Arabidopsis thaliana: one gene and its partner. The protein of the gene in region 1 interacts with the protein of each later gene in a pairwise test. Each region holds a gene or a part of one and is shown on either strand. Other genes may lie near its edges.

Region 1 (11,792 bases):
TTCCTAATAGGTAAATATATCAATCGGTTATCTCTTAAGAACATTATCAAAAAATTGAAATATTATTTGTGATGGTCACTTCTCAATACTTATCAAAACAAGTTCTTACGTAAAAGACATTTGCTTTATCCATTTGTGATAAGAATTCTCTTGTTTCATCCTCATCGTTTAATTACCATAAGTCCATAAGTGACGTTATACTATAAGACCAAGTGACCGACTTAGATATTTCACTTATACAAATAAGATTATAATGTAGTGGTTTGTATATTAGCCTTAATTGTTTTTCTTATAACATCGATAGGCTCAGTGGAGCTTCGTTGGTTGTTCCGTTAGTGAATTTTTGGTGGAGCCGTGTGCCTCAAAACTTATTGAATGCAGCGATGAAGAAATTGCCAATTGGATTTCAATTGACACTTCGAGTCGCACACTACTCTCCATGGTTGTTATATTGGTGGATGACTCAGAAATGGTTCCCGAATAGTCGAAATCCCAAAGATACTATGACCGAGCGCGACCTAGAACTCGCGGAAAAGCATACCAAACACTCTTATATCAAGGTATATATATTACGAACTTTATGATCCACTCTCTTTTTTTTTTTTTTTTGAAAGAAGTAAACATTCATGCATGAATGCTATTATTACTATAGGAGTCTGCTTTACGACAAGGTGGATATGTGACCACACAACAAGACATCATAGCGGGTTACGGGAATTGGGAATTTGATCCAACCGAATTGAAGAATCCGTTTTCGGATAGTAACAAAGGGTCGGTTCATATGTGGTGTGCACTCGAAGACAAACAAATTTCACGCGATGTTTTACTCTATATATGCGATAAACTGCCATGGATAAAGCTCCATGAGGTCCCTGATGGTGGACATTATATTATCCATGAGAAGCGGCATTTTGAAGCCATTATCAAAGCCGCTTGTAGTGACTAGTGGAAGATACATTATAACAAAAAAAAACTCTAAAAGATTTGTATCTAAAATCAGTTTAAGAAAAATTATGGCTATGTAAGTTTCATGTGACAAAGAACATTATCTAACCTATTTACAATAATTTATATAAATCTGGTATGTCAGATAGTACAGTTTACAAAAAAAAAATCAAATGTCAAATTGATCCAAATGAAAAATATCATGACATACTTTTTTGAGCATGGGAGAGAGTCGGATGGAGACACATGAACGAAAGGTAAAGTTGACCCAAAATTGTTACTGAAGTCCTCACTTTGATCACGAGATTTGGGTTTTGTGATTTGGGCCTTACCCTAACCCATTTCGATTGAGGGCATTTTAGTCATTTTATATAAACCGACAAACCGGTAAAAGCAAAATGTTTTCCCACTAAAAGACTGAAAAAAACACTAAACCAAAATTAAATCATCAAAAATCAAAATCTCTAAAATCAAAAATTCGCATTTTCTCTCTCGCCGGAGAGATGCAACGGTTTCTTCTACCTTTACTCTTCCTTGCACTATCGCCGCCGGCGATTTGTCATTACTCTTCCTCAACCTCTTCACCTTCTTCGTCCTCCGTTTCTTCCGACGCCTCAGAATGGCGTCCAGCTCGAGCCACCTACTACGCCGCTACGAATCCTCGAGACGCGGTGGGCGGTGCGTGTGGATACGGAGATCTCGTCAAATCTGGGTACGGTATGGCTACTGTTGGTCTAAGCGAGACTCTGTTTGAGCGTGGTCAGATCTGTGGTGCTTGTTTCGAGCTCAGATGTGTTGATGATCTCCGTTGGTGTATCCCTGGAACTTCAATTATACTCACCGCTACGAATTTCTGTGCTCCTAATTACGGATTTGATCCCGACGGTGGTGGTCATTGTAATCCACCTAACAAACATTTCGTGCTTCCGATCGAAGCGTTTGAGAAGATCGCTATTTGGAAAGCTGGGAACATGCCGGTGCAGTATCGAAGGTGCGTTTCTCTCCGCTTTTTCCCAATTTGTTTCGCGTTTTGTTAAAAAAATGCGTTTGCGGTGGTGGGGAACGCGGTTCTGCTTTTAGACGCCACTATCGATTTAAAAAATCCGGCGATGCTTTTGCTTTTGTGTCTTCTTCGATATCCGTGTGCTTTATTATGTGAGATGGGTTTACCCTAAATCTCTTCCTCAATATGCAATTTACTTTATTGCCCCTAATCGTTTTATCTTAGTGTGTACAAGATTCTGAGAAATGGTAGATAGGTTTGCTCATCATAGTTGAGTAGCTTTGCTCTCATTTTCATCTTAGCCATGAGAGGACTGAAATTGACTGTTTCTGTGAAGTTCTAGGCACAATGCGGTAAACTACTATTTAGGTTCATGATACAATGGATCATTAGATCCTTTATTAGTTTGTGAAGTGTTTTGGAGCTGAGCCTATAAATAGTTAGTTGCATATCACTTAAGTTATGAGTTATGACTTACAACCATTTTTGTTGGCTTTTACCAAAACAGGATCAACTGTAGAAAGGAAGGGAGCATGCGGTTTACAGTCGATGGTGGAGGCATTTTCATTTCGGTTTTGATCACCAATGTTGCAGGGTCCGGTGATATAGCTGCTGTGAAGATCAAAGGGTCGAGAACCGGGTGGTTACCTATGGGTCGTAATTGGGGACAAAATTGGCATATTAATGCTGATCTCAGGAACCAAGCTCTCTCATTTGAAGTAACTTCTAGTGACAGGTCAACCGTGACATCTTACAATGTCTCCCCGAAAAACTGGAATTATGGACAGACCTTCGAAGGGAAACAATTCGAGACTCCGTGAGACAGAGACGGACACATTGAGATACAATCCCATGATTCTTTTTTTCCGGGTCAGAATTTTTTGATGGCAAGTATATCGATCTTGGTCTAAGGTTATCTTTAGGGTTGAAAAGGAAAGAACTTGGGTCAGACTTTTGCATTTCATAGTTCTCTCTCTCCCACGCATAGGTACAAAAACTCACCAATGTACTAAGAACAGTGATCACACAAACATCACTATTGTATCTATTTGTTTACATTACTAAGGAGCGAAAGCTTCCTTCAAGTGCTTAAAGCTAATGATGAGTACTGAGTCTTATCGTAAAAAGAATCCAAAAGGGTACTGTGATATAACAAGAATCAGAATAGCTAAAGGTTATAACTTCTCAAAGTCAAAAGATATTAAACCTATTATAGCCATGAATGTAAGTTCACTTACTTCTCCAATGTGAAGATCACTCAGGCCAAAAGGATCACCGTGTGTTGTAAAATTCCTATGAACATCCCACTTCTCTTAAAACTCTACAAGAGAACCCCAAACAAAATAAAAGGAAAAAAAACAAAAAAAAAACGTGTCAAGAACTCATAAAGATTGATGAGATTCAATAAGCAACGCATTGAGCATGACATGGACAGCGGCATCATAGACCGCAGAGTCATAATGCATCCCGTCAAGTGTACATTGCGGTCCACAGTTCCAGGTAAACGACTGGATATCAAGCAAGATAAGAGGACCACCCATTTGACGTAAGATCTTACTCTCCCCGAGTGATCTATCATACTCATGCCACACCGTATCACTCATCTTCTCCTTCTTCTCATCCGTATTCAACATCCCGTTGATCAAAACCGGCATCCCAATCCAGAACAGATGCACAGATCTACCGGAGACCGACCCACCTCCTTCTTGCTCCTTTGGCGTAAGGGGCACTAGAGACTCCACATGACTACTCAATTGCCTCAACCTAAAACCAAAATCTGAAGCATTGTTCACATGAAGCATATGCCATAACCCAGTTCCCATGATCACAACATCAGGATACTTTTTCATCTTCTTATAAGATACCACAAGATCATCCAAATCTTTCTCATAAGGAGCCCAAACAAAATCAAGCTTCATCCCAATCTCCTTAACCACAATGCTGTAATCACTATGTCTCCTAAACAAATCCCCTCTAACCGAATCCATAGCCTTGGAATCCGAACCCAAAACAAGATTCAACAAAGACAAAGCCACGAATCTCGCCTGAGAATCACCAGCAACAACAACCCACGATCCATTCAACAAATCCGAAACATCGAACTTATCCAATTTCTGAAACTCACAACTCAAAACTTTCCTCGATTTCATCCAATCCCAGTTCTTCACGAAATAATCAAGCTTTGTTGAGCCATTGTTCCTACGAACAGACTCCGGATTCGGTACCGGTTTAACATCCCAGACAATCTGATTAACCTCGTTGATACAAGAGATACGATGATCGTAGACAACAACAGAGGAAACAGAGGCAACGATGTCGGAAACGGAAGGGAAATAAGGCGTGAGATGAACACAAACCGCGAGAGAAATAAACAAAGCGCCACTAAAGAAGAGCATCTTGTTCCTGCTCAGATGCCAACCAGCCATTGCCATGGGAACGAAGAGGACGAAACAAGCTGCTAATACTCCCAAATGAATCGCTCCTAGCATCTCTCAGACTCAGATTTCGGAATCAGACACATCTAGATTTCCATCTAGACAAAACCAATTTCATCCAGATTCGAATTAACTCTTTTTCTCTATAATTTAAGAAGAAGCTAGGGTTACGGATTTGGTTCGGTGAAGAGAATCTATCAAAATTGAAGGTGAAGATGAAAATTTGGTGAGATTGAAAGGAACAGAACAACCGTAGGCTTCTTCTTCTTTGGTTCGATTTTTTGTATTTAAAATTTTCCATATTTGTAAGATCTCCATTAATTTATGATCTCATCTCTCTGACTCTCAGACATGGTTCGGCTCACTTTAGCCTCATTATGGAACTGGGAACTATTCTAACGTGCGCTCACCGCTGGGAATCACGTGACCGCTTTTAGATTAATCATAAGTTCCTCGGCCCACGGTCAAGCCCATTTATTCACGTGACCGCTTGTAGATTGATCATAAGTTACTCGGCCCACGGGAAAGCCCATTTAGCCCACATCGTTCAACAAATCAATGACACTTTCCTTATGTGTATTTTCATACGTACGATTTCATCTTGGAATGACATTAAATTCTGTAGATCCGCGTTTTCATCATATAATAAATGGAGAAAAAATCATTATAATCATTTAGACTTCTTTTTTTATAGCTAAAGTTACATGTAATTTCGTGATTTTTCTTCACGGTCTTAAGTCTTGGGGATCTTGTAGACTCCGAAATTTCATAATAGTTTCAACCGATTTTTACATATTAACTTTTAATTTATTACTTTCTCATTCTAACCAAATTTATATATTTTTGCCAATGAGGCAATGACCCAATCTAATGGTGGGGCTAATCATAGGACTAATATGTTATTAGTTTATAGAATGTGTGTGAACGTTAAAAAGAATTAAGTAAAGAACCAAAAGATGGATTCATGTGAGGGAAATGTCTCAAGAAGGGTATGTACTATGTACACATTGTAGATATATTAAAGATATATATATATGTGTATATATATGGTGATACAAAGAAGAAAGAGAATATGGAATTTGGAATAATGAGAGAAAAAGGTTATGACGATGATGAGAAAGGCTGAGAAGTGATTCTCTTGGGTTGGCCCATCAATAGCTTCCAAGGATTTATTCACATGTTCACAACTGCTGGATCCCACATGATCATACATATAACCATCTCAAAACCATATGCTTGTTCAAATTTTATATATATATATATATATATATATATATATCTGATCGATTTCATTTTTCCAAATTTTAGATAAGTTTTTTTTTGATAAATCAACTTTAGATAAGTTTTATAGTCGCCTACACCAAATGTGACTGTATGTTCATATGATTATATATAGCTTTCGAGTTTCGACCAAAATGATAAATACTCAAACTATAATTTCTTATATCCATAAGTCTTTGGAGTACGTAATTGGACTTTCGGTCAATAGTTTTTCTATATTGGAACAAAAGTTTTGGTATTTTATATGACGACACTAAATATGGAGAGGAAAGGATTTCTGGCCACTCAATTTTTTAATTTTTGTTTCAAAATCTCCGAAATTTCAATTTTTTTTCCCGAATCACACAACCTTACATTAACAGCCTAATACACTAGAAAATATATGAGCATTAACTGATGGAACGACCATAAAATGGAGTTCATCTTTCTATTCGATATACGATATACAATATGAATATGAGAAACAGAAATAGACATATATAAATGACAAAATAAAATGTAAAACACTACTAGTATAAATTTACAACATCAAGATATCTATTTTTAAAAAAGATCTATGTACGTAGATCGGATGGCAATGTGAAGGGAAACAAAGGATTCGCATGCAAGTGGGTACAAAAGAGACAGTTATTTCAGTTAGAAGTGCCGCCAAATAACAAAAAAAAAAAAGAAAAAAAAGAAAGAGAGATTGCAACAGTTTTGGGTTAACCCAAGATTCGATCTCCCATGCAACCAATAGAAATCTGACAAGTGCACATATATTCCAGACCGACCACTCTCGGAGAAGCATGGGATAATATAATTGATGAAGAAACACGGTTTACATTTAGGGCGGCAATTTTTGATTAATTATTCCGGTTAAGTACCAGAATCTACACGTGATCATGTTATTTGTTAGCATTTTAATTATCTATCAATATAAAAAAAACACTTCGAACAATATTATATATGCGTCGGACAGAAATTGATGAATTGTAAATATTAATTAAATTTTGAATTTTTTTAACATTATATGTTATTTTGGGATGGGGACCTTCCCTTTATTCACTTTTGCATCTCCCTTTTTCATTACCTCTTTATATATAACCTTGCTCTCCAAGCCCTCAACGAACACAAAACATATACCTATTCTATAATCTCTTCTTCTTCCTCTCGAGTCTCGATTCTCTCTCTTTCTTTCTTTGAAATTGATTCAAACAAAATAACTTCAAGAACAACTTGAGATTATATATATGGCTCCTGTCTCGTTACCTCCAGGTTTCCGATTCCATCCAACAGACGAGGAACTAATTACTTACTATCTAAAAAGAAAGATCAACGGTCTAGAAATCGAACTTGAAGTTATCGCTGAAGTTGATCTTTACAAGTGTGAGCCATGGGACTTACCAGGTAATATTAATTTGACGTTTCCCTTGTTTATGCATGAGATCCACTTAATCAAATATGATTTAAATTTTTTGAAAAATATGATTTCTGATCAACATTAATTACGCGATTCTACTTTAGTTATCAAATTCTGCATATATTATTCATTTATATGGATTTAAATTACAACATCTGTAATCGTTAAGAATTATTATTATTTGTCTAAAACCCATAGGAACAAGAGAGATTGAAGAAAAGAATAAGAATATAGCATTGATGAAGAAACCCTAAATATACTTTAGTCTCTACCGGGAAAATACCACATGTGCAATTACACATACTAGTTCTGTAAATAACTATTTTATTATTTTTTTCATCATTTTCACCAAATCTTTTAGGAATTAAAATGTCAAAATAATTTTTAAAAATGTTTAAATATAAAATTGTAACTCATGAAAACATGAATGCCAGCTTAATTGAATCATAATTTTAATTTACGTCATCCAATATCTGCTGATAAATTACGTTACTTAAAGTAATCAATTATGAATTCAATAATAGGGAAGTCCTTGCTTCCGAGCAAAGACCAAGAATGGTACTTCTTCAGCCCACGAGACCGGAAGTATCCCAACGGCTCAAGGACAAACCGGGCAACTAAAGGCGGTTATTGGAAGGCTACAGGTAAAGACCGCCGAGTTAGTTGGAGAGACCGAGCCATAGGAACCAAGAAGACATTGGTTTACTACCGTGGGCGCGCGCCACATGGCATAAGAACTGGTTGGGTCATGCACGAATATCGACTTGATGAAACAGAATGTGAGCCTTCTGCATACGGCATGCAGGTTCGTTGCTAACTAACTGGATTCGACTACAATCATTTTAATATTGTACATAGCATTAGGAAAAACCATCTAAATTGAATTTTATATTTGTAGGACGCATATGCACTTTGTCGTGTGTTCAAAAAGATTGTTATTGAAGCTAAGCCAAGAGATCAACATCGGTCATATGTCCACGCGATGTCGAATGTGAGTGGTAATTGCTCATCGAGTTTTGACACTTGTTCGGATCTCGAAATCAGTTCAACTACTCATCAAGTTCAAAACACATTCCAACCGCGATTTGGCAACGAGCGATTTAACTCCAACGCAATCAGCAACGAGGATTGGTCACAATACTACGGTTCTTCTTATAGACCGTTCCCTACTCCATATAAGGTATAGCTAATATTTCAAAGTTTTAAAATCCATCATTGATTACCCTATAAAGTTTGATACATGACCATCGACATATAACATATTTTTAATAATGGGTTTTCTATATTTTCATTCAGGTTAACACAGAGATCGAATGTTCAATGTTACAACACAATATATATCTACCACCGTTGCGTGTAGAGAACTCTGCGTTTAGTGATTCCGATTTCTTCACGAGTATGACTCACAACAACGACCATGGCGTTTTCGATGACTTTACTTTTGCTGCAAGTAACTCCAACCACAATAATAGCGTTGGTGATCAAGTGATCCACGTTGGCAATTATGATGAACAATTAATAACATCTAACCGTCATATGAACCAGGTATGCATATCAGACTATTGAAATAATATATGCTGTATGTTTTATATACCATTTATATATAATTTTAAACCTAACATATAGAATTATATTTATGCATTTGAAAAGACTGGTTATATAAAAGAGCAGAAGATCAGATCGAGTTTGGATAATACTGACGAAGATCCAGGATTTCATGGTGAGTATATATATATAATTTGGGTTCAAATTCAAGATTGTTATGATCGATGCTCTTCCTATATCTAACGATAATTACAAATTGTTTAATTTACAGGTAACAATACCAATGACAACATAGATATCGATGATTTTCTCTCGTTTGATATATATAACGAGGACAACGTGAATCAAATAGAAGATAATGAAGACGTGAATACAAATGAAACCCTTGATTCATCGGGATTCGAGGTGGTTGAAGAAGAAACTAGATTTAACAACCAAATGCTCATCTCGACATATCAAACGACAAAGATTCTATATCACCAAGTCGTACCTTGTCACACGTTGAAAGTTCACGTCAATCCTATTAGTCACAATGTGGAAGAGAGAACATTGTTCATTGAAGAGGACAAAGATTCTTGGTTACAAAGAGCTGAGAAGATCACGAAGACAAAACTAACACTTTTTAGTTTAATGGCTCAGCAATACTACAAATGTCTTGCTATTTTTTTCTGATTCTTTTCTTTTTAAATTTGTTGATTTATTTATCCCTTTTTGATAAAAGGGCATTTACTTAGACACATATATGTATGTATACTAATATTTACATTTAACTGTTGTACTTCTTACTGTTAAAAAATATTTCTTATACCTATAACAACAATAAATTAGACGATCCAAATTTAAATTAGTATATCATCAAATATTTGAATGGAGTACAAGCGTCAAGCGGCTTGACTCAAGCCATTAACGGAGGACTACAAGAACTACTAGACAAATTAATAGGCAGCCAATTCCATGAGCTTCTTCCAAGCCGGTCTAGCCGAAATCTCATTCCACCACCGGTTGAGATTCTCTCGAGACGTAACCAAACCACTCAAACTGGTTTCATTCATGATATATCTCATACCGGGCATATGACTCAAATCAGCTAATGTGAATTCATCACCGCCCAAGTACCGGTTCGTAGCTAACCGGTTCTCATACACATCCAGGACCTTGTCGAACTTGACCTTTAGCTCCTCAACCAAAGCGACGTCGCATGGCTTACCAGACTTGGGCTTAAAGACGACGTTCATAACTAAGGGTAGAGCCACAGCGTAGAAATAGTTATTCTCAACTTCCACCCACTGGTCCACAATGGCTCGTCCCTCCAAAGTCTTGCCCAATAGGTCCGTTCCTTGGTCCGCATACTTTGTCGCGTAGTACCTCGCTATGGCTCGCGATTCTTGAAACCATAAATCGAACATATAAATAGCTTTTCTACATGTAGTCATTTAAGAGAAAAAGCAGCAAAATATTTGAGAATGTATCTTACCAAAAAGCTTCAGATATCCATCTTCAATAGCTGGAACTTGACCAAACGGCTAATACAAGTATACAACGTAATGAATAACACGTTTTCTGTGATAATACTGAAAATATTGTGACTTATATACCTGACGAAGAAGATGTTGTGGTTTTTTCTGTTCAAGTTTATCGAGATCGACATGAATTACTTCAAACTCGATGTCTTTTTCCAAAAAGCAGAGCAATACTCTTTGTGGATTAGCTGCTTTTATCTGCCCATATACTTTGACCACCATTTTCTGATTATATGTTTATACGTAACTATTGATATGAAATTGTAAATACCGACATGAATGTGGATGTATGCATTTATAGGCCACAAAAGTTATAAAATGTTTATGAGTGCCTTTGTCTGCTGTGGATATTAATCAGTGGTCATTTTTTTTTTTTTTTTCAAATCCGTTGGACCTTTGAGTAGGTGAGATCATGAAACGTGCTTTTAGCATGGAATTCTTGATTTTTAAAATGTTTTTTGTTGTTGTTCTAATTAAAATTGTGAATAATAACGTTTACAAGAGCTGTGAATTATTTTTCACTATAGTACTGGAGATGTGTACAGTAGACGAACCAACATTTAATTACAGTTAACTTATAATAAGTGTCGATGTGAAACAAACTTTGAAGGTTACTTTGCGTATATATTTTGGCATTCATGAATGTTTCTGATTGCTCTAATTTGCTAAATCAGGTTTCTAATTACATATATGTAAAATTTTGTAAATTTAAAATAAAATACAAAAGGTATTTGTTTTTGTACAGTCCAATTATGTCAAATATGATACAAGAGACTAGAGAGTGTTAAGAACTCTAAATGCCATGTTAAGCTTCATAATTGGATAGTGGTCAATTCGCACACAAAAAGAAAGAAAGAAAGGCAAAGAAGGTTTAGACAGGGACACGCCTTCCACGGTAGCGATCCAGCAACTGATTCAGTGACCAATATATATAGTTGGTAAAAGTTTGATTGGATAAGGCAAATAAGTCTAAATAGTAAAACAGAGAGAAGTTGCAATGAATGTACCGATCTGATGTATGGTTGCTGCAAAAGCCAGCCTAATAGAGGTATCCTTTGAAGGAAGACGGCAAGTGTAGGCCAGAAACCACTTTAAAATTACAGAAGAATAAAGGAAAGACATGAGTCAGCAAATCAAAACTAGAAATGAATTAGTAAAACCATTAAATGTTGTTGAGGAGAAGAAAACCCACCTGAAGAGCACAAGGAACCCATATGATTCAAGAAGCAAACCGAAAATAGGCCATCCAAACACAACCAACAAGAAACCCAATCCAAATGATATAGTACCCTGTATGTATATCAAGAAGATGTATTATTGTATTAATAATAGTCATCAAATTGGAAGCACAAGGGATTCATGAAAGAACCTTAAAATTCTGCCGTTTAGTAAAGAATTGGATTGCTGGGTTGATTCCAATGGTTAGAGTCACACCAGCTAAGAAGAGGATCTGTCCAAAGAGACCACAGAGACCCTTAAAAAGCCTTGCTAAAATCGTAAAGAACACACACCAAAGATGGTATAAATAGACCTACGTTCCCCATGGCTATGAGTCCCTTGTCAAACACAAATATCACTCCCAGGAATGTAAAGAACACACCAAATCCAGTCAAACCTAGCCCTATCTCTGCCACATCAATCAAATTCCTTAACGATTCAGC
Region 2 (8,226 bases), on another chromosome or scaffold:
TCTGTAGGATAGTCCACAGGAGTGTCCATTTCCCACAAAAGAACGTCTACATGTATGACATATGGAAGAAAGAGATCTTACTGGAGAAATCTTCACTCATGGTTTCGACTGAGATCACGATATAGAATTGGGAGAGAAGAAAAGAAAAACATAGAGCAAAACGGAGAACGCGTGCATAAACAAAGATAAAATAAAAAATAGATCACGCAGTAATATTGTCGACACCTTGTGAGCTTACGCTTTGGTCCATAGGCGGCTTTCCTCCATCTAATAGGCTTGTACAATCAGATACTGAGCTTGAAGTAGGAAACACCTTTTCTGTATCATGAGGCTGTACCAAGAGAACATTGGACTCCACTTTCTCAGTATCAGTATCATGTACCAAGAGACCATTGGACTCCACTTTCTCAGTATCAGTATCCTGTACCAAGAGAACATTGGACTCTTCTTTCTCAGTATCTGTATAGTCAGTATCAGTTTCCCAGCTAGTACAAGAAGAAGTATAGTCAACAATTTCTTCTATAGGCTTTTCTCCATTTAAAAACCTTGTACATTCAGATATGGACTCTGGAGTATGAAATAGCTTTTCTAATGGGGCCTCATCATCAGGCTGTACCAAGAGAACATTGATCAAACTTCTCGATTCCAAAGCCCAAAGAACCCTGATCGGCCTCCTTGTTTTCAAGGTTTTTTTTTTGAGATTACCAACATATTTTTTGGCTTATAAGCACTGAGAAAAACATCCCATATCATTAAATCAATGTTTTAAAAAAAATATAGTTATAGATTATAGTGTTTAAATTCATGTTCTATAATTTTAGCGTAAATTTTTTAGAATAACATGTATTTATCAGAATTATGTTTTCAAAACGTAAAATAAAAGTGTACACCATTCAAGCCCTTTATTAACCTACTGTATCATGAGAAGTAACTCGTGGGTTTGGTTTGACCACTACTAACACAACTGCGCCTGAATCTCGAATGTGTCAATAACCTATAGAACTTATTTCTACGAGAGCATAAACATCATCCTATATAATCAGTTGAAAATGTGAAAATCAGTTAAAAGAAAACATAATATATCACAATCCCACATAAATCACCGAGTTAGTCTGAAAACAATAAAAGAAAAACAAACAAACTCGAAGCACTTCTTGTAACCTCGAGTCCAAAAGAAAGAAAAAAAAGTAGTGTTAAGCTCAAAACTAATAACTAAAGACCAGAGACAATGTGAAAGGTCAAAAACACAAGCAAGTAATGCATCTGTACAAACAAAGCCGAATCTACTACCGAGCTGTTGGCTGCAATACTGATTCATCAATGGATACATAACTCTGTGATCCAGCCAGGTCAAGCATTCCCATGTTGAGCGAAGACGAATGAGCCGAGCTCCTGGAAAACTCGTCTGATATACCGCCTCTTGCAGCCAACGCTTCCTTCTCGATCCTAATCGCGTCTTGGATATCTTTTTGCACCTCGGACATCGAAGGTCTCATGTTCCCGTGCGGTTTCACACACAGCAACGCTTTCTCCGCAATCTTCCACATTGATTGGAGACTGTAATCATCTTCCGCTAGCGCTGGATCGATGATCCCTCGGATGTCCCCGTTGTCTATATGCATCTTAGCCTACAAAAACCGTTACCAAGCGATAATTTATAAACCGTTATGATTCCATATTACATATATCCAAACAAAGCGTAACCACACAAAAAAAAAGTTGAACTAACCCATTGGACTATGTTCCGGCAGTTGACACCAAAGCTTTCATTCGATATGGCTTCTTGGCCAGACATTAGCTCAAGAAGAATGACTCCGAAGCTATATACATCACTCTTCTCTGTTAACTGCTGCGATATATAGTACCTTTAACATCGAATAAAGAAAATATGTGAGTTCTTGATATTATGCTAGTTTTGGTGAATCTATCTGAAGTTCTTGGTATTAGTTTAAGTCTTAGCTTACTCGGGGTCAAGATATCCAACTGTGCCACGGACAATGCTGGAGACATGTGAGGTCCCGTCAACTGCGAATTTCGACAAACCGAAATCTGAAACCTTTGCCCTCATGTGTTTGTCAAGTAGGATGTTACTAGTCTTGAGATCTCTATGTATGATTGCTGGAACACACCCTGTGTGAAGATACTCGATCCCTACAGAAACAATCAAAACCAACAAAATCAAATATCGAAAAAATGGCTTTCTGTTTTGTTGTACAATTCACGGACCTCGGGCTGCATCTTCAGCTATCTCAAGCCTTTTAATCCAACTGATTCTCCGGTCACGTGGTACCACGCCTGAAAATAAATCCACTTGTTATCATAATGTTAAGCCAAAAGGCTGAAATATACCATCCTATCATAAAAAGATATGTTACCATAAAGATGCTCCTTCAAAGTCCCATTGTGCATGAACTCATACACAAGCATGTTTTTTCCCTCTTCTTGGCAATAACCAAGAAACTGCACAAGGTTCCGATGATGTATCCTTGAGAGTAATGTAACCTGAAAAAACCATAATCACTTGTGTTACTTCCTAAGCAAAATAAAATAAAACTAGATACTTAGGCACATGGTTTTAGACTAAGGCAGATTTACCTCGTTTGCAAACTCTCTCTTTCCCTGATATGAATTATTTGCAAGAACCTTTACAGCAATCTCTTTCCCCTCCCTTGTTTTACCATAGTATACGATTCCAAAACCTCCCGACCCAATTCTCTTTTCGAATTTTTTTGTGGCTTCCTCGATCTCATAAAGTGTGAAGCAATGTGCAGCGTCTCCATGAGCTTCACTCAAGGTAGACGAAACTCTCTGAATCGGTAAGGGACGATTCGTTAACTCTGCTGAAATAAACCCAAGAAAAAAGGTAAGCATATTCATTCAAAATCAAGATACACTATGAAACCGGTATACTTGAAGAAATATAACATACCCGAAGTTTTTCCCAACTTGTTATTCTTCTTGCTTTTGCACATGACGATGCAAGAAATGATGGTTGCAATTAGCAGAACAAAAGCACCAACTGATGCACCGATGATGACACCGAGCTTCTTGCCTTTATCTCCACTTTTTTCAAGGTTAAGGTTCCCAGAGAAGCTGAAGGAAGAAGAATACATGTGTTACTGAGAAGATCTAGCTAGGAACTATTCATGCAAAAGCAGTTTAAATCCGACAATATACTTACTTTGAGATCACATCTTTGGCCAGGTCTGATGGTATTGTTCCTGTTAACACATTGTTCTGCAGGTACCTGCAATCATAAAGCAGGTTGGGTGCATAAGAATGTAGATTAAAAGGTCATCCCCACCACACAAATTAATATATCAAACTATCCTTTAAAAAAAGCATACAGTTCTTTCAGGTTTGGGAGTTTCGTCAACGAGGAAGGGATCTTTCCGGTTAGTCGGTTGTTCTCGAGGTGTCTGCCACAGTCCATTATATATTTATAGTTAGATGAAGGCAAGAAAAAATATATAAACTCCAAAGAAAGTGATTTTACATTATCTCCAGGTTTGGACACCGAGAGAAATCCGGTATTGGACCCGTAAAAGAATTCCCATCAAGCCATCTGCCATTGACAAAAGTTGCAACATCAGTAAAGAGAATATCTCTATATAATCCCAAATTCAAAAGTCTAAGAAATAAGTAACTTACAACTCAACCAAACCAGTCAATTTCACCAGGTCAGAAGGTATATTTCCCGTCAAGTTCATACTCGACAGCTTGCTGCAGAAAGAATGAAGCATAACATAGTTGAAATATGCAGACAAAAAGACATATTGCAAATAAAGGTACTAAGATAGACTTCCTTACATAGCAACAACCCTTGGTTGTGGATCCGAATTGCATTGCACCCATGACCACGGTGAGGGTGAACAAGGGTCACCGCCTTCTTGAGCCCATTCAGTGGAAGAATATAGCGATGCCACATTAGCCATAACAGTTGCTGCAATACAAGCAATCATCTTAGAATCAAATGTGAGGCCACAACACTAAGAGGAGGGGCTAGTTGTACTCACCATCTACTGAACCATCGCTTTTCCGCAAATATTTGCTGATCTCCATGGCATTCAGAATAGGTCCCCTAGAAGAATCAGCCGTTTTGGCAAATCGAAAGTTTAGCACAAATGGAAGTGTTATGTTAGGATAGCCAGGTGCATAAACGCGATACGGTCTCTGTGTATTTTCCTTGATGTTAACAACCGATTTGCTATACTCAGGCTGCTCAGGTAGAACTAATCTAAACTTCCTTGACTCATCCTCAGCCAAATCCTCGATTTCAGCAAAGTATGTGAATGCCCAACCAAAACCAGGGAAGCCATCTAGGTTCATTCTGTAAGTTAAGGACCCGTTTGTTCCAACCACAGCCGTCTGCATAACCTTCTGAGGCGGTCTGTCATCGACCCTGCTTTCGATTGGCAATGTAGTCGACACTCGCACAGTCCCAGCAGCAACATCCACAAGATAATTAGGCTTCTTTTGCAAATCAGATTCCCATATTCTATCATACGGATCATCCGGGTACCTGCAATACCAACTCATTTCCTTAACTCATCCTGATAAATCACAATGCTGAAACAACAAACAGATTATGAACTGTATACTGACCTCACAGAAGCTTCACTTTCAGCCCCGAAATTTATCCGTGCTGCAACACTCAGGTAAAACCGGTCTTCAGATAGCATCGAACCATACATCGAACCACTCAACTGCCTAAGCTCAAGAGTAGATATAAACGGCTGTCCAGTTGTGGCATTTGACAAACAAACACTAACAGTAGGAGAAGAAGCCAGAAACACCAGTTCTGCAGTTTCGATTATATAGGTTTCAGAGATAACAATGGTCGCCCAATGAGTCGCCCCGAGGGAGATATCGAATTTGGGATACACATTGTTGCTGTTGTCGAAATTACCATACAAGAAAGTAGCTCTAATGAGATATCTATTCCTACTCGTGACATTGAGAGTGTAGCAATACTTTCTTGAATCAGCAGGGAAATGCCTTAAAGTCGTGTACTGAGTTCTTGTTTCGTTAACGGACGATATATTAGCGGTTTCTCCATAAATGAGATGATTATCAGGTGACCATTTGAGTCCAAGTTCATCAGTGAATGGCTCTGCACCTCCACAATCCAAGCTCACAAAACCTGCCTTACCCAAAAAAAAAAAAAAGTTTGATTCTTTGTGTTACCATTCCCTTTTTCCCTACTTCAATCTAACTAAACAAACATATATGAGCATAACTACACACAAATCTCAAACACCACCAGCTCTTGAGATTTGTTAACAAAAGCCTAAACTTTCAAAAATCCTTGTTACTACTACATCACATAAAAATAGAATCTTTCCAACTATTTCAACAAGGAAACATCAAAAAGTACTCAGAAGCAGTCAATTACCTGGAGCTTGTGCTGATGAAGAAGTGAAGAGACAAGTTGAAACCAGTAAACACAACAAAAGCAGTGAGATTCTCACCATCTCCAGCTCAGACCAAACAAACACTTCACACAAGTTTAACGCATAAATGGCGTTACAAAATAAAGGAACCAAAAAAAGCTAAATGTGATCCCAAAAAAGTGAAAAAAGTGAAATTTCCAGAAACAGAACCAAACAGACCCTAAAATTACTTATCTTTACTATCAAGAGAGATCTAAAGACCCATAAATGGTTTAACCAAACCCAAAAACCCAAAAAGATAATAAAAATCAAAAAATTGGGGAACGTGAGGAGATATGAGTGTGTTTCTTCCTCGTTAAGTGTTTGCTTTTTTTATGTGAGAGAGGAACAGCTTCAAAGCCAGTGGAGGTAAGTGGTAAAGGTACAATTGTTGGGTCCATCTTCCTAGCCTGGACTCTACGTACATCTAACGGTTCAATTGCTTTACCTTTAAACTCAATGGTCCAGATTCGTTGTGTTCCACCTTTAACGTGTTGTAGTGAATTCCACCACCAAGCAGTCTCCAGCGAAACGGTGTCATTTTAATATATTTCTTTTTCTTTTTGTTCAACATTTTTAATATATTTCCGGATTTGAATAAATGACATTCTCTGCCTCTAAGAATATTTAAGAGCTACATCCACATGTTTATTGTTTTATGGGAAATTAATAAATAATATTTTTTTCATCCAGATTAGATCATTTCAATATAGGGAAGTGATTAAAGTTTGTATGAATTTTGTTTTTTAGTGATCAAAGTTCTCTTGTTGATATACTTTTAAAACTAAAATAAACAGGTTACCTTATTAAACAATGAATTCAGGTATGAAATTTGTAAATTGATGATCACGATAATTTTCCTTAATTATCTAATTCTAAGATAGTCTAACCATGAATATTCTTATAATATCTTAACTGTATAGGAGATTCTATTTTCATCCCTAAATTATATTCGTAATTTTATTCGGATATACTTGCTTTTATTTTCGTCAACAGATATATATATATATATATATATATATTATTTATTTTTAATTTTCATTAAAATTAGTGATTTAATTCTCTATTATTTGTGTACTATATAAAACAAACAAATGAATCTTATAATGTTTGCTTTTTCGTCCATAAATATTTCCGGGAAAAATCGTTAGATATAAATCGAACCTAGTGGTGAGTGACTCACACACATGTGACAATTCCCAAAATAAGTCCCCCACGTACGCTATGTCTGTTTTAGTGTGCATGTAGTAACTATTATTTACTGATTTAGAATATAACTAGCATTTGGCCCCTATTTAGGGATAACATTGTTTTAGATTATATCTGTTACAACTTTTAACTAAAAATTTTAAAATAAAGCAGACAGTATTAATATACAACAAATTTATTATCATTGATCGAAGAATATACAAAGATTAAGAAAAAGATATAAAGAAGGTACAACTTTTCTACCCAATGAATCAATTGCGATAGGCAATAACTAACAAATCAAGAGTTTAGAAATATAAGAGAGTATAAGTACGAAAATTATGCTGGGTATATACATGTCCGCTTATTTCATCATTAGCTCCAACCAATTGTAATGTGTTCTTCTTCTCATCATCAGTAATTCAGTTTACAAACATTCGTTGACACCCAAAGCTTGGAAGTCTAAAAAAAAATGTAAAATGTGCACAAATAAGTAACTACATGACGCAGACGCTGCCTTTGAAACAATATCAAAGATATTGCAGATATAAAGAAGTAAAATAAGAGATGACTTTAAAATTGAAGTATTTGTATTAATACAAAAATCTTGCGTGAAAATACAATTGCAGTTTAATACAAAAAAGAAATTGCAGATATAAAGAAGTAAAATAAGAGATGAAAGAAGAATAGTAAAAAGTATGAGAATTAATTTACCATCAAAAAAACACTTGAGCTTCGATTAAGATATTAAACTCACCCTTGTTTTAAGGCAACTGTTCAGATGAGAAGCCAAAATTTGTCGTTGTTCCTTGAGTGTTTGTGAGACGGGAGAATCATAGGCATTGATTGTATTAAAGAATAATCCTATGGAAAAATGGAGATGTATGAGAGAAATCGAATTCAGTCAAATAAAGCAGAAACAAAGCAAAAAAAAAAAAAAACCATAGAAATCTAGAAGAAGGATATATGATTTTCGGATCTATGGAAAATTTCTATATATATAAAACAAAATTACAAACAGAAATAGAAGATGGTAAATTGGTTCATTGAGATGAACAAAGTACCTGATTTCTGAGTAATCGATTAATGATGTTGAGAAACCCATTTTTGAGATTTTACACAGTAGTCATGGAGTTTTTGGAAGAGAGAAAGTGGAGATGTGGAGATCGTGGGGATGAAAGAGAAAATCATTTGAGAAAGAAACAAAGTTAAATAAAAACGACACATACTATGCGTAAAAATGAAAAAATAAAAAATAGTACTAAGCTGATGTGTCAATCACTGAATGCATTAGTTATTGGAAAAGTGACTGCTGATTTAGTATATTTAGATTAGAGAAAATAAATACTTGTAATCATTTTTCTTATTAGCAATGTTGAAGTGAAAAAAAAAAGAAGAAAAAAGTGTATATTTATCATACTCATAGTGGGAAATTGATAATTCAAAATTGCTGATAAACGTTATGAAAGAAGGTGGAGGATCAAAGTGGTAAAAAGATCTTGTAGATATATATAGCTTTAATTAAAATAACTTAATGTAAATAATGATCAAACTAATAATATCCAAAATATCTTTATTTAAAAAATTGAACTCATGCGAAGACCGA

What was found. Proteins that work in one complex are often made in the same cells at the same time.
Region 2: the proteins of AT3G03210 (region 1) and AT2G37050 interact in a protein complementation assay, tested with the Arabidopsis thaliana proteins (one large-scale study listed by BioGRID).

What each region holds. Positions count from the first base shown.
Region 1 is NC_003074.8:733,632-745,423, reverse strand, and holds AT3G03210 (Pmr5/Cas1p GDSL/SGNH-like acyl-esterase family protein), read right to left. Parts: upstream 4,721-11,792; 5' UTR 4,438-4,720; coding exon 3,331-4,437; 3' UTR 3,115-3,330; downstream 1-3,114. Other genes in the region: AT3G03230 (alpha/beta-Hydrolases superfamily protein), read left to right, coding at 1-10, 305-560, 653-946; EXPA13 (expansin A13), read left to right, coding at 1,449-1,936, 2,457-2,769; NAC045 (NAC domain containing protein 45), read left to right, coding at 6,897-7,053, 7,591-7,871, 7,965-8,246, 8,363-8,611, 8,717-8,786, 8,883-9,283; GSTF11 (glutathione S-transferase F11), read right to left, coding at 9,547-9,995, 10,086-10,134, 10,207-10,353; AT3G03180 (Got1/Sft2-like vescicle transport protein family), read right to left, coding at 10,944-11,220, 11,324-11,421, 11,501-11,581, 11,667-11,758. UniProt on the Arabidopsis thaliana protein: Component of the plant cell wall polysaccharide acetylation pathway. Does not directly catalyze O-acetylation of xyloglucan but exhibits weak acetylesterase activity in vitro.
Region 2 is NC_003071.7:15,566,538-15,574,763, reverse strand, and holds AT2G37050 (Leucine-rich repeat protein kinase family protein), read right to left. Parts: upstream 5,839-8,226; 5' UTR 5,475-5,838; coding exon 5,396-5,474; intron 5,144-5,395; coding exon 4,606-5,143; intron 4,523-4,605; coding exon 4,017-4,522; intron 3,944-4,016; coding exon 3,811-3,943; intron 3,724-3,810; coding exon 3,652-3,723; intron 3,566-3,651; coding exon 3,497-3,565; intron 3,420-3,496; coding exon 3,348-3,419; intron 3,248-3,347; coding exon 3,182-3,247; intron 3,094-3,181; coding exon 2,930-3,093; intron 2,841-2,929; coding exon 2,596-2,840; intron 2,503-2,595; coding exon 2,376-2,502; intron 2,296-2,375; coding exon 2,227-2,295; coding exon of another isoform or gene 2,219-2,226; exon of another isoform or gene 2,152-2,218; coding exon 1,965-2,151; intron 1,866-1,964; coding exon 1,730-1,865; intron 1,629-1,729; coding exon 1,287-1,628; 3' UTR 1,015-1,286; downstream 1-1,014.